Linked DNA regions of Xenopus tropicalis. The protein of the gene in region 1 interacts with the protein of each later gene in a pairwise test. Links are inferred from orthologs where the notes say so. Each region holds a gene or a part of one and is shown on either strand. Other genes may lie near its edges.

The links. The genes of interacting proteins can lie anywhere in the genome.
Region 2: the proteins of thap1 (region 1) and akap17a interact in binary tests that used the Homo sapiens proteins (3 or more experiments, as listed by UniProt). The two-hybrid records come from large-scale screens. The link is inferred for Xenopus tropicalis from reciprocal best matches to the Homo sapiens genes THAP1 and AKAP17A.
Region 3: the proteins of thap1 (region 1) and u2af2 interact in binary tests that used the Homo sapiens proteins (3 or more experiments, as listed by UniProt). The two-hybrid records come from large-scale screens. The link is inferred for Xenopus tropicalis from reciprocal best matches to the Homo sapiens genes THAP1 and U2AF2.

Annotation. Positions count from the first base shown.
Region 1 is NC_030677.2:112,769,374-112,774,998, reverse strand, and holds the start of thap1 (THAP domain-containing protein 1), read left to right. Parts: upstream 1-2,020; 5' UTR 2,021-2,201; coding exon 2,202-2,272; intron 2,273-3,046; exon of another isoform or gene 3,047-3,118; intron 3,119-4,928; coding exon 4,929-5,124; intron 5,125-5,625. UniProt on the Homo sapiens protein: DNA-binding transcription regulator that regulates endothelial cell proliferation and G1/S cell-cycle progression.
Region 2 is NC_030678.2:38,922,324-38,926,498, reverse strand, and holds the start of akap17a (A-kinase anchor protein 17A), read right to left. Parts: upstream 2,801-4,175; 5' UTR 2,683-2,800; intron 912-2,682; 5' UTR 899-911; coding exon 137-898; intron 1-136. UniProt on the Homo sapiens protein: Splice factor regulating alternative splice site selection for certain mRNA precursors. Mediates regulation of pre-mRNA splicing in a PKA-dependent manner.
Region 3 is NC_030683.2:104,041,842-104,045,907, reverse strand, and holds the start of u2af2 (splicing factor U2AF 65 kDa subunit), read right to left. Parts: upstream 2,801-4,066; 5' UTR 2,786-2,800; coding exon 2,737-2,785; intron 1-2,736. UniProt on the Homo sapiens protein: Plays a role in pre-mRNA splicing and 3'-end processing. By recruiting PRPF19 and the PRP19C/Prp19 complex/NTC/Nineteen complex to the RNA polymerase II C-terminal domain (CTD), and thereby pre-mRNA, may couple transcription to splicing.

The sequences.
Region 1 (5,625 bases):
ATTTTGGTGAGTGGGGGAGGTGGGTTCTAGGACATGAATACAGGACTGACAGGCTTTACAAATGATCATAAAAGGCATTTAAAGCACAATTCTATGTGTTTGGTAAAAAGATTTAAATATCCTAATCTGCTGCTGGAAATTTACTTGCTGGTTTTTTTTCACATTTTTTTCCCCCTTGACCATGAAAATTGGTAAATAAACCTCCCCCTATGTTCCTATAACTTCTAATGCCAATATAGTTATTACTACTAGTCTTTCAGTTTTAACCGCTTTTGTACAATAATAAATCATTAACTTTCATTGGGATTGCAAGTGGATTGGGTAAACAACGCTCTTCGAGTTTATGATCAATGAGGACACATTTATCTTTATGTTGTAGTGATTGAGGAGGATTAAAAAAAATGAATGAATGTGTGTGTTTAATAAACAAGTTTATTTTAAAAGCATAAGTTATTTGTAAAAGCATAAACTAAGGTTAAAAGCACCGTGCATAGTTATTCTAAGGGCCATGGCTCAGAGGCAGATTAGTCACCCATGGTTAAAGGGCACCTATCAACCTATATTGTTTCCCCCACCATAGGTGCGGGCTAATAGAGCCCACACTCCAGTTGGGGGAAACAATTGATTAAAAAAAAACTCCCCCTCGCCAGCACTGGGCTACCCGCACCAGGAGGGAGCCATGTTGGTCGGCACGAATGCGCATGATAAGCACATGTGCCTGATGTAGGAGTGGTGAATGTAAATTACCCTTCTACGTCACACACATGTGCACAATGAGCGAGTTGCAGCACTCACACTCGCGCATACGTGTGCCCCGACATGGCTACCTGCAGTGGTGACTGTGGTGCAGTGGAAAAACTATTGTTTCCCCTATCCGGAGCATGGGCTCTATTAGGCTGCACCTCAGGTGGGGGAAACAACATAGGGGCAATTGGTGCACTTTAAGGGCTCTGGCCCTTAGTCGCCCGCGACAAATCTCCTGTGTCTCGGGCGACTAATCTCCCCGAAATGCCATCCCACCGCTGCCGTGTATGCTATCCTACCGGCGATTTACATTTTCGCCGGTGGTATGGCAATCTGGGGAGATTAGTCGCCCGCGAACAGGGAGTTTTGTCGCGGGCAACTAATCTCCCCGTGTGCCAGAGCCCTAAGGGCAGTGGCAGACTAAGAGATTAGTTGCCCCGCAACAATACGGCATATGCGTTGCTACGATTTCCCGAACTTGCCCTAAGTACTTTGGGTGAAATCGTAGCGACACGTATGCCATCCCACTGGCGATTTACATTCTTGCCGGTGGGATGGCTTTGCGGGGAGGTTACCCGCGGCAACAAAAATCTGACTAATTTCCCCTTGTGCCACTGCACTAAATCTCAGCTACTGTGGGTAACTAGTCTCCAGGAAATGCCTTTCCACAAAAAGCACTTCCTTTCCCAAAGTTACCTGCAGGAGGCCAAGTATGCCTTCCCACCTTTGGAGCATTGTTTCTCGTTACACACAGGTAACATTACAGACATACTACTCATACAGCACCCACAAGTTGGGCAGCGCTAGAGAGATTGTTTTTCATTCACACCAACTCGTACATAGTGGCGCTTACAATCCAACTTCCCTACCACTTTTAACTAGCGCACAAGCGGGCTGATTACGAACCGATTAACCTGTTCTCGCTAATCAATAATACACGCCAACTAAATAAGGGTACTGAAAGACATACATGTGTTTAATGATCATATAAAGGTACAAAGTCGCAAGCCCTTGTTACGCTTCTGATTACTAAAACAAATACGTCGAATAAAATCCTTTGAATCCTACATATACTCACACCTTCCGAGTAACCTACTCATTTTCTACAGAAATATAAAGAAACCCCGGCTGGCTAAATCAATTAGACGTAAACATAAGAATAGGCGGAGCAAATATTGCACCACGTGGTACACCCTCGCAAATCGTAGTCCAGCTCCCGCTCAGCGAACGTGACGCCGACCTGAAGCGCTGTCAGCCATCTTGGAGCCGGGAGGAGCGCAATTCACCAACAGTCTCTGCAAAATTATTGTAAATTAATTCGGTGGTGCTGTCAACTCGGTAGCCAGCGATACACCAGATCGAGAAATTAAAGCAATCTACGGAAAACCCGTCGCGCTTTTCAAGGTGCAATAAGGCGGTACCGTCTGTAGCAGAAGAAACTGGGCGCGTCGGAAAACATGGTGCAATCGTGCTCGGCTTACGGTTGCAAGAATCGCTACGATAAGGATAAACCCATCTCTTTTCACAAGTGAGTGCATTTTGCGCTTTGCCCGGTAATATTTAGCTGGATAGTATTCTCGGTCCCCTGAAAGCAAGAGACGCATGCGCGAAGCTCGGTGCTTGTTCTAATGCTAGGCGCCTGCCGATACCACGTGGTCAGGGGCTGGGAGTGCGCGGCCTCGCCTTGTGTTACTGTGTGTGAGCTGCATCCAGTTGTTCAAACTTTGAAATAAATGGACCTAAGAAGGGGAAGAGTGATTTTACCTCATTTTTATTTTATCATATAAATATGTGGACTGGTATATTTAACGCTTTTGCCTTTTTTTCTGGTAAAAATTGCCACAATTGTGCATGTTATCTGAGTGAAACTTGTCAGAAAATATTCCCCCTGTACATAGGGTTTATCTGTGAAACAGTTGTATGTTACACAGCCTTCTCCTTCTCCAACATTGACTTGGCAAATTTAAGCTCTCAGTGCCTATGTTAAATAAAAGAAAACCCAAACCCATAAATATTTGTTAATTTAAACAAATAAAAAGTATGTCCTATTCAATAATAATCTTAAAAAGCATTTGCACAAAGTAATGTATCATACTGCTAAAATACCCCTTGGGTATCAAGCCTATTCATAAGTTAAGATAATATCACTTAGGAACATCGCATTCCAGTTAGGGTATGGGTAGGGAAAAAAGGAAAGGGATTTTTTTCTGAATTGTAACACCCTGTTAAAGAGAAATACATATATTTTCCATTATTATATTGTTGCTGTAAAAGTTGCCTTTTATGCAGTAGCATACCTAACCTTGGGTACACTTATTCAACAGCGGCGTAGTCACATGATGGAAAACTCCTCCATTTTGCTTCTCTGGTGGGCCTAGAGGGGTGCATTTCACCCCCTTGTAGTTACGCCACTGCTTTTATGTATGCATCTTCTTTATGGCTAATTAACCAATCATTTAGATCCCTGCTGTTGTCTTGCAGTTGGCCATGGGGGCTATATTCAGCCCTTCAGTATGAGTATGTTGCATTTATTAAAATGTATTGTAGTGTAGTGTGCTCATTACCAACATCAAATCTAACCTGCAGTCCTTTTGATATGTCTGGGTTCAGTGTGAGACCCCTGAAACTTCAGATGTTGCTCAGCAATGCTGTAGACTGTTCTTGATTCTGTGATCAATGTGGCAAGAATCTAATTTAACTGTTAACACTTTTAGCACTGGGATTAAAATGTCTGAATTGAGGAAGCCGCAATTGAAATAATATACTCCATACTTTCTTACTTTGCAATAATTTGTTTTAATGTCTTATTTTAAAATTTAAATTGAATAAATATTTGACTTTTTAAGAACATTGTTAGTACCGTATATACTCGAGTATAAGCCGAGTTTTTCAGCCCTAATAATGTGCTCAAAAAGGCACCCTCGGCTTATACTCGAGTATATACGTTCTCCCGGCCGTGCGCTCGCTTGCTCACACCGCCCAACCCTGGACATATGCGCTCGCATGCTTGCGAGTGTTGACTTACTCTATTTCATTGATCCATCACCTCGGCAGCCATCGGCGCGCAACTTACTCTATTTCATATCCAGCACTGGGCATCCGTCGCAATCGCATGCATCCCCCCGTGCGCGTGACATGTGTGCGCGGATGCCTGGTGCTGGATACGTGCATGCGATCGCGCCCGATTGCTGGAAAGGTACGTGATATGTTGTGCGCGACGAATGCCCGGTTACAGCATGATGGCTGGCGCCCGATGGCTGGCGAGGTGCTGGATCGGTGCTGGATCAATGAAATAGAGTAAGTCAACAGCACAAAAGGGCATTTAAAAGAACTCAGAGTTGCAACATGGGTCAACTACAAGGTAAGGGCATATTAAGTTGTTCGCTTTGATATTTTGAGTTTTGCCACAGAGACAGGCCCTTAGGCAGCAGGGATACACAGACTGACACACATAGACTGTACACAGGCTGACAGCTGCTCACTTTACACCTCCTGCCTCAGACTTAAGGTTCATGATTTTTGGAACATGTCCTCCCTCTTAGGCAATGGTTGACAGTGAATTATTACTAAGAAACCTAATGGGTTAAATAGGAACTGTGATCGATATGTGTTACTATGAGTATAGGATAACGTGTGCACTGCTTTCCAATTTTTGCCTCCTAAAAACAGACACTGATCATTTTCTCCCCTGATATACCTAAAAAGCAGCTGCTCTAAAGTCTTTGCATTACCAGGGCTAATTAAATACAATAATGTTGCACAAACTAAGGTGGCTTAACACAAGCCAGTTTTCTTATGGCCGGTCATTTTGAGTGTTTGAGAGACTGGATATACAGTATGTTGTTTTGTCAAACGCAAGGGTGGTTCTGGATGCTTCTCAGCTGGCCGAAATACACAGGTGGAGAAAATGCCCAATTTATTTATCTATTTTATTAATATATTATTTTCTCATCTGCAATGTTTTCTCTATCTTCCATGATGATGATAGCGTTTTGTGCAGGTGTGTTAAAAGAAATGGATGCCTAGGCTTATACTCGAGTCAATAAGTTTTTCCAATTTTCTTAGGTAAAATTAGGTACCTCGGCTTATACTCGGATCGGCTTATACTCGAGTATATACGGTAATATGTTGAAGTTGAAGGACAACATTTTAAAAATTTGAATTCCTCTTCTTTGCCCCAATAGGTTTCCCCTTAAACGCCCGCTACTCTGCAGGAAATGGGAAGCAGCTGTACGTAGAGCTGACTTTAAACCTACAAAGTACAGTAGCATTTGCTCTGACCATTTTACAGCTGATTGCTTCAAAAGAGAATGCAACAATAAGCTTCTTAAGGATAATGCTGTGCCAACAATATTTGCACATACAGAAATAAAGAAAAAGGTAAGAAAATCTTTTTAAAATGTCCAGTGAGAAATCATCATGAGGTTTCAAAGATTTTCAGCACATAATTACCTAACAATTATGTAGTGCAATAATTGTGAGATATTTTATGGATACCTGTTACACTCTTGCACTAAGGCTTAAAGGAGAAGGAAAGGCTAAGTCACTTGGGGGTGCCAAAATGTTAGGCACCCCCAAGTGACTTACATGACCTACCTTGTACCCCAGGCTGGTGCCCCCGTTAGGAGAAAACAGCACCAGCCCGGGGCACCTGTAGACACCGCTTCCTCCTTCCTTTGCGCGCTGCTGGCGAAATCCGTGGGCCAGCGCATGCGCAGTAGAGTGAAAAGCCGACTTTAATGTTTAAGTTCGGCTTTTCACTCTACTGCGCATGCGCGCGCAAGCGAGGAGGAAGCAGGTAGCGCCGGCAGCTGCCCCGGGCTGGTGCTGTTCTCTCCGTACGGGGGCACCAGCCCGGGGTACAAGGTAGGCGTTCTAAGT
Region 2 (4,175 bases), on another chromosome or scaffold:
AAGAATACATTGCCAGAAAGGCTTTAGTAATGTTTAATAATTTGCAGAGCAAAGCTCAAGTTGCTCAATAATTCCAAGCCTGTTCTAGAAGACCACAGAATGGATTTGCATGAAATAACGCTGCACAAAAGCACACCTTAATATTGCAGGCCACAGCTTTCCCATCTTCGCCTTTGTACATAAGTTTCATACCACGCAGTGCGTTCATGGCTTTTACAAATCCTACATATTCCTTGTATTGTACGTAGGCTTCAAAGTTCAAGTGGCCACCAAAGCTAAAAGTATGGAAACTCCTGCCTGTCATTTCCTCTCTGTAGGGATCCAGCATAGGTATGTCCACCATCCGAATTTCCCCAAACAAATTGAAAACCTTAATAAGAACATCTTCATTTGGCTTTTCTGAGCCAGAATCCTTCAACGCAAACCATTTGCAAGGCAGGCCTTCCAAATGAATTGTATCAGGTCTTTCTCCTGGAAGGCTCTCATTCATATCTTTTGCGTCACGGAAAAAAGAATCCCAGTCATGTCTGGTGGGAAAGTCTAATTTGTACTCAACCGCTCTGACTTTCAATATATCAGAGAACCCACTTAGCTTTATACTCTTCCCATCAAGAGCTGCTAGAAAAGTCTTTACTAAACTTTTGTTCTCTACTTCCCCTTCAAATCTGATGAAGTCCATGGTGCTTTTTGAAATGCGTAAGGTGGAAAATTGATGGTTGTTCACCATGCCTTTCAGACGTTCCATTACTTCCCAGTTAGATATGGACTTTCCAGGTTGCTTCAGCTGCGGTAGTGCCACGCTGATAATCATCTTTGTGATAGGCTTCAAGTAAAGCCCACAAGAGCCACACAGCTCTACAGCTTCCGATGTATCATGCACTATCGTAGCTGCAGCCATAATCTTGAAGGGGCTGTTAATATATAAAGTAGAAATGTTAGGTAATATCTGCAACTTCTTTTATTAAAATGTTGCCTTTAAAATCAAAAGACAAGCAAGTGAAATAATTTATATGTACCAAATTACACAGCACATATTCCTAATATATTAACAAGCATCCCATTTGTAAATAAAACAGACCTCAAATACTGTGTGTACTGCATACAGCTGCTACAAATGGCTGCATCCATACCAGCAAGTGAGACTGACTGTGACACCCTTGACTCAACTATGCCCCACTTACATTCACAGATGAAGGTAATTATGTACATTCACACTTATGATTATTGCTCTCTCTGCATCTCAGCAAAGGGTTCATACTGTCACTGTGATTGATTTTTAGAAAAGGTACCAGAGAAATGAGTAATTAAACGGTTACCCTACCAAACTCAATTGCTAGGTTGGTAGTTTTACATATCAGAAGGCAAAATGCAACACTGAATAATTATAACATGGTCTACAGGATATTTGAGCAATGGCAAACATGGCATCATATTTTTAGCAAGTCAATTTCCCAGACAAGATGCAGCGTAGCTGCACAGCCATCTCATTAGATTTTGAAAGAGAACTGAACCCTAAATAAGAATCTGTCTAGAAATGCTGTACTCTGTATTAAGAATTTGCTGTATGGGCCAAGAACTTTCTCACAGCTGTAACAGTAATGTTTCAGGCCTTCAGTGTTCAAAGCAGCTCCATATCATGAAATCTAGTTAGGCCATCTTTTGAGTGTCAGTGACATTGCACATGCTCAGTGTGCTCTGGGGTACTGCAGAGAAGCTAAGCTTAGGGTTCAACTCAATTCATAAAAACATTACAGAAAATAAGTTCACATCTGTTACAGAGGCTGATGCTACAGGGCTAACGCCAATTCTGCTGCACTGATTTCTGCGCTGCCATATACTGTGATCTGGGATATAATACCTGAATGTGCTGCCATATACTGTGAATTTGGATATAATACCTGAATGTGTTGCCATATACTGTGAATTTGGATATAATACCTGAATGTGCTGCCATATACTGTGATCTTGGATATAATACCTGAATGTGCTGCCATATACTGTGAATTTGGATATACGGTAATACCTGAATGTGCTGCCATATACTGTGAATTTGGATATAATACCTGAATGTGCTGCCATATACTGTGAATGGGATATAATACCTGAATGTGCTGCCATATACTGTGAATTTGGATATAATACCTGAATGTGCTGCCATATACTGTGATATGGGATATAATACCTGAATGTGCTGCCATATACTGTGAATTTGGATATAATAGCTGAATGTGCTGCCATATACTGTGAATTTGGATATAATACCTGAATGTGCTGCCATATACTGTGATCTTGGATATAATACCTGAATGTGCTGCCATATACTGCGAATTTGGATATAACACCTGAATGTGCTGCCATATACTGTGAATTTGGATATAATACCTGAATGTGCTGCCATATACTGTGAATTTGGATATAATACCTGCACTGTATTGTGCATTGTCACTAAACTCGGGTATCTGACCAGCAGCAAAATATGGGGAGCATTTTCAGAGGCATAAAGTCTTTCTAGCAGGTACACAAAACAAAATGAACTGTAGCATTCCTAGTCTAATTCATTGTTGAGGTTCAGTTCCCCTCAAACAAACCAGCAAGCGGAAGGCTTTGCGTGTGACATCCCGTATTGTTGTTTTCCCTACGCGCATGAATCCCAAGGAGAGGTAGTACAGGGCAGGTGCATACCGCTCTCCCGCTTTCCGTAACACAACCCGGAGTCCCAGACGGCTGCTTAAACGTCCCGAAACGCCATTAGCGCCCTACTCTCTAGATCCTGCCGTACAGCCAACTCCAACGTTCCGCCGCTCATCTCGCGAGACTATGATGTCACGGAGCCACGCAGAGCAGCGCAGTGACGCTAAATCCTTCCGCCGTGAGGCTCTGTCGTGCAAGGTGTCACGCAATCATGTCTGTGGGGGCTGCAGCAGGTCCCACTGCCCGCATTTCCTGAATTAGAGTGGGCTTCAGCTCCCAATATTTGGCCATTCATTGCTTTCTTCACTTTCTCTCCTCCTTACACATTTTAGAAATTACACCTGTGCCAGGAACAAAAAAACCTCCTCCTCAGGGTGGGGGAGCATATTTTTCACACTACATGGTCAGAACAAGGGTAAAACGGAAGTTGTATTTTACTCTTCCTTTATACTTTTATAAACTTGGAATTGTGCAGGTTCCTTCCCTAAGAAAGTTCTGGAACCCAAAAGAACATTGGCAGGGAGTTCCCAAACAAAATGAGACCCATTTCTTTGCTGCTTGCCAGCAATACCCACTACCACTGGTGCCTCTGCTCCCAAAAAATAGTAATTCATGTTCAAATTAAGGCAAAGTGAAATGAAGTAATCTATTTTTCTGAGCTTTTTGTGCAAATGAGGCAGATGTTTCACAGATTAGGGACAAAAGGGCTAATTTAGCAGAATACAACGAAAAGTTAACAAGGTTTTAGGCTCTTTTGTTTTATCCTTGGCTGAAACAGAAAGGCAGGAGCCTCTGCCATAAAAAAAAAATGTGCCAGTGAATTATACTCCTCTAAATATAGAAAGGTTGTGCTTAAAAAGTTGTGCTTGAACTGATTTATTGAGAAATTCCACCTAAACCCCACTAGTATGGGCCATCTGTCCCACTTCCTGCTGGGTGAATTCTCTGGATGTGCAGGGGAGCCACAGGCTCTCAGTACAGATACTGTAGTAAAGGGACCAATCAGCAGCTAGGCTGACCTGATAGGGAACTGAAGCCTGTCTTTGCTTGTGTGAGTGCAGGGCTGTGATTGGCTATCCCCCTCCTACTGTGCTTCTGGCAGGGACCGTTAGGACACGCCCACTCTTCATTTCAAACTCGGACAGAGAACTGATAGGATCTATAGGGAGCTCCAATAAAGGGGCCATTTTTACAGACTGTATTTAATTTTAGCCCAAAGTGAAACCAGCACCATATATTATTCATAATTGCCTACAAAATAAGGGTTTTTCCATTTATCCAATGAGTGTGTAGGGACAGAGGCAGCAGGGAATGTGTGATTTTAGAAGAAGAGAGAAGGGGTGGCACTCGGGTTCAACTTGCATAGATGTTGGTTTGCCTTAGGGCTAAACTACATGGGAGATTTTGTAGAATGGTACAAGTTGGATGTAGATGCATGGGTCAAACTAATCAGAATGATAGAAAAATGTGATGTGCAAACTACA
Region 3 (4,066 bases), on another chromosome or scaffold:
GGGGGGCTAAACTGGTAATTCACAAAAAAATCTGTGTAGACCGTGCCGCCACGTATGCCATCCCACCGGCGATTTATATTTTTGCCGGTTGGATGTCATATCGGGGAGATTTTTCGTGGGCGACTTATCTCCCCGTGTACCAGAGCCCTAAGAAATAGGCTGATAACAGATTGCAATACCACTTGTATGTATGTATATCTTTATTTATAAAGCCCTACTTATGTAAGCAGCGCTGTACAGTACAATACCACTTTTTATCAGATTCTAACACGACTTAAGGTGGCCATACATGGTAAGATATTCTTGTTGGGAGAGATCGCCAAATGACTGGATCTCCTACCAATATTCCCTTATTCCATTAAAACCAATGAATTACAACTAAGGGTACAGGCACCGTAGGATTGACACGTAAGTCATCCCGCCAGTGATTTACATTCTAGCCGGTGGGATGGCATTTCAGGGAGATTAGTCGCCCGCAACAAGGAAGATTTGTCACGCTCCGACTAATATACTCCTGTGTCACAGTCCTTAAGCTACAATCACAGCATGGAAAAGAGCTAAAAGGATTGTGTAATCAAACGGGTAAAAAAGTGATTTGGTTTAAGTTTGCAAATTACCCAAACAGATGAGAAATCACTGAATAGTGTAGTTTTCCTGCAAATACAATCTGTATTTTGAGGATAATGCATCCAAACTGGAATGCACTAGTGACGCCCCAGATCAGTAAACAGCAGTGAAATGGCTGCATGCTGCAGGTTAGCCCAGGTATGCGCTGTAAGTTGGCAGGTTATGTTTGTTACAAAAGTAAACATTTAGTCATATTAGTGTATATATAAAAGTTTTTAAGTCAGGAAACTTTACATATCACACCAATGGTTTAGTTTAAAGGAACAGTAACATTAAAAAATAAAATAAGCTACGTGTATGTAGCTCTTAGACATGGATTCAAACAATGTGCCTTTTACCTTTTTCAGCTTGAATGGCTGTGCCTATGGCTACAGAGGAGCGTGTTTATATATAGTAGTGTTACTGAAGCAATCATCGGTTTTACCAGTGCAGGGCAACAGTACATTATAATGTAATTAATTGTTTAATGTAACTGTTGCTTTAATATCTAGGAATATCTGCTGGAATTCCCCTGTAAACACACACAAAGGCCCTTGATTTTAAACTCTCTGCATCTAAGAACCCTGAACTTGATCCAATGAAAGGTACACTAAGCCCCAAATCACCGGCTAAAATTATTTTATAAAATATTTAATACTGCAGTATGTTTAATACCCCAACATACATTGTGAAAGGCACTGGACCTTTATATCCAAACAATAGTACAGATAAAGGCTTGGTACAAGGTCTGTACAACTTGCATCCCTGTAATACCCCTTTACCAGACCTAGTCTGACCCTATATCACTGTGTTAAGTCCATTAAAGGAACAGTAACACCAAAATATGAAAGTGTTTTAAAGTAATTAAAATGTAATGTACTGTTGCCCTGCACTGGTAAAACTGGTGTATTTGCTACAGAATGCTCCTATAGTCTATATAAATAAGCTGCTGTGTAGCCATGGGGGCAGCCATTCAAGCTGGAAAAAAGGAGAAAAGGCACAGGTTACATAGCAGATAACAAATAAACTCTGTAGAATACAATGGCATTTTATCTGTTATCTGCTAAGTAACCTGTGCCTTTTCTCATTCAAATGGCTGCCCCCATGGCTACACAGCTGCTTTGCTTATATAAACTATAGTAGTCTTTCTGAGGCAAACACACCAGTTGTACCAGTGCAGGGTAACAGTGCATCATATTGTAATTGCTTTAAAACACTTTCATATTTTGATGTTACTGTTCTTTTAACATTGATTTAAACCCCCCATACACTGTACATCTGTGCTTAGAAACATAGTTCATACATTATCACCATGAGCTGAAACCAATCAATCATACTTAGTTGCAATACAAAATGGTGTCATGGCAAAATAAAAAAAACTTGCTTTGTAGATGAACAGGACTGCCCAATAGCTAGGCCTAATACATTGCTAACTGCATTATGGGGGCACTATGGGGCATTATGCCATGGGCTGGGGGTTCAAACTAAAGGCAGTTAGAGATTTGGGGAGAATGCTTATTTGCTATTCAAGATTCTCCCATAAGCTCATCCTGTAGGTTTATGATGTTTATGGATGAGCAAGTATTTATTGCCCTAGATATCCTCTGGACTATGGCTGATACCCCATATATGTTCCCCTGTATTATAACTTAGTATGTGGCCCCTGACCATAGCTTGCACCTTTAAAAATAAAAATAAATAAAGCTTGAACGGGAAAAAATTCTACGATCCATTTTAATTATTATTTAATGTTTCACACAAACTGGCCAGTGAATGGCGCTGTCTCATTGGGTGTATTGAGATTCAGCCCGATAGCGCCACAAATAAAGCCATACAAAGTAAGGTCGCTGGGTCGATCATCATATGTTTTTTAATCGGGATTATTTTAACAAATGAGGCCATGGCAACGCACAGCATAAAGGAAGGTATAAAGGAAGGTATAAAAGGGCAGAGTTGCAGAAGCGGCAGGCCGCCCCACGCCAGCGGGACCAGAACCTTCGGGCCTACCCAATGGGCTACGTAAAGAAAAACTCCGCCCCATCTAGGCCTCAACCGCGCACATTTCCCTCTTCTCCCGCCACGCCACATATTATACGGCCCCAGGCCGGCGGCTCCCGGGTTTCACCTTACCTTGCTTATTTTCATTCAGCTGCCGCTCAAACTCGTCGAAGTCAGACATGATGGCCGCGCTTTATTGTGATGGCGGCGGCAGGCCGTGTCCGAGCGCCAGTCCTGCACTCTCTTCTCGCGCTCTTGTTCTCAGAGGAAGGAGTGGGAGGAGGAAGGAGACAACGCAGTCGCAACACGCTTACCAACCAGCTTGGCGGCTTCCGGAAGTAGCGGGGCAGGGGCTTGTTAAGGATTCGCCCGCTTCCGGAAATGATTGGGCGGAGCTTACTATTTTCTCGGCTTCTTTTGAAAAGGGCTTTACTGAAGCGAGAAGACTTCCGGGAACTTCGACAATTTTCGTAAGTAGGGGGGCGTGGTTTATTCAAACATATATGTTTCGGACGGACATGAAATAGAGCCGGCGGAAGACGACGTTAATCCGGTCATTTAAGTTTAGAAGAAAAGGAGACATCGATGCAATTAAGGTGGCATGGCTAGCTGAGCGTGAGGCCTGTTAAAATTAGACACGGACATAAATAAAACATGTACATATGTCTCTTTGTAGGCGGTAAATACATATTGACGGTGTGTTCTCATTTGTAAGGACAGCCTCCTCCTGATTGGTGCAATACACGTGTTTTCAGGAAGCCCAACGTGCAGGGCCAATATGAGCGTTGTACTGCGATGTACCTCTCCTGTTTTATACACTTTGCTATGGGATCCGCAATGTGTTATCTTCCTCCAAATACTGTTTTGTTGCATTAAGAAAGAAAAGGGAACTTGCAGAGATGGATAGTCACATGTTACTTTAAAATATATACAATATTATGCCAAATAATTATACTAATCTAAATATAGATTATCCAGAGAGAATCCTCCCTCAGTCTTTTTAAAACTAAACTAAGATAGTACCTTTTGGAGCACTCACCCAGCACCTGATCTGGGGACTAGCACTTATATTGTAATGTTACCCACTGTGACCTACAGCACTTATATTTGCCGATTTGTGTCTGTAAGTTACCCTCCCATATAGATTGTAAGCTCTACGGGGCAGGGACCTCCGTCCTCTTGTGTCTTTGACTCTTTCAACTGTACCTTGTATTTATTGTTATACTTTGTATTTATTATTATCTTAATAACCCCATTTGTAATAATCTATTCTACTGTACAGCACTGCTTACATAAGTAGTGCTTTATAAATAAATAAAGATATACATACATATAGAAGGAATGTGCCTGAAAAAGTAGTGTTTTAGGCAGCCCATTCTTTTTTACTGGCCTATACTGACACAGGTTGATGTAAGTGCTGAACGCAGGTGGAAAGCAACATTATGCATCGGAGGGCCTCATA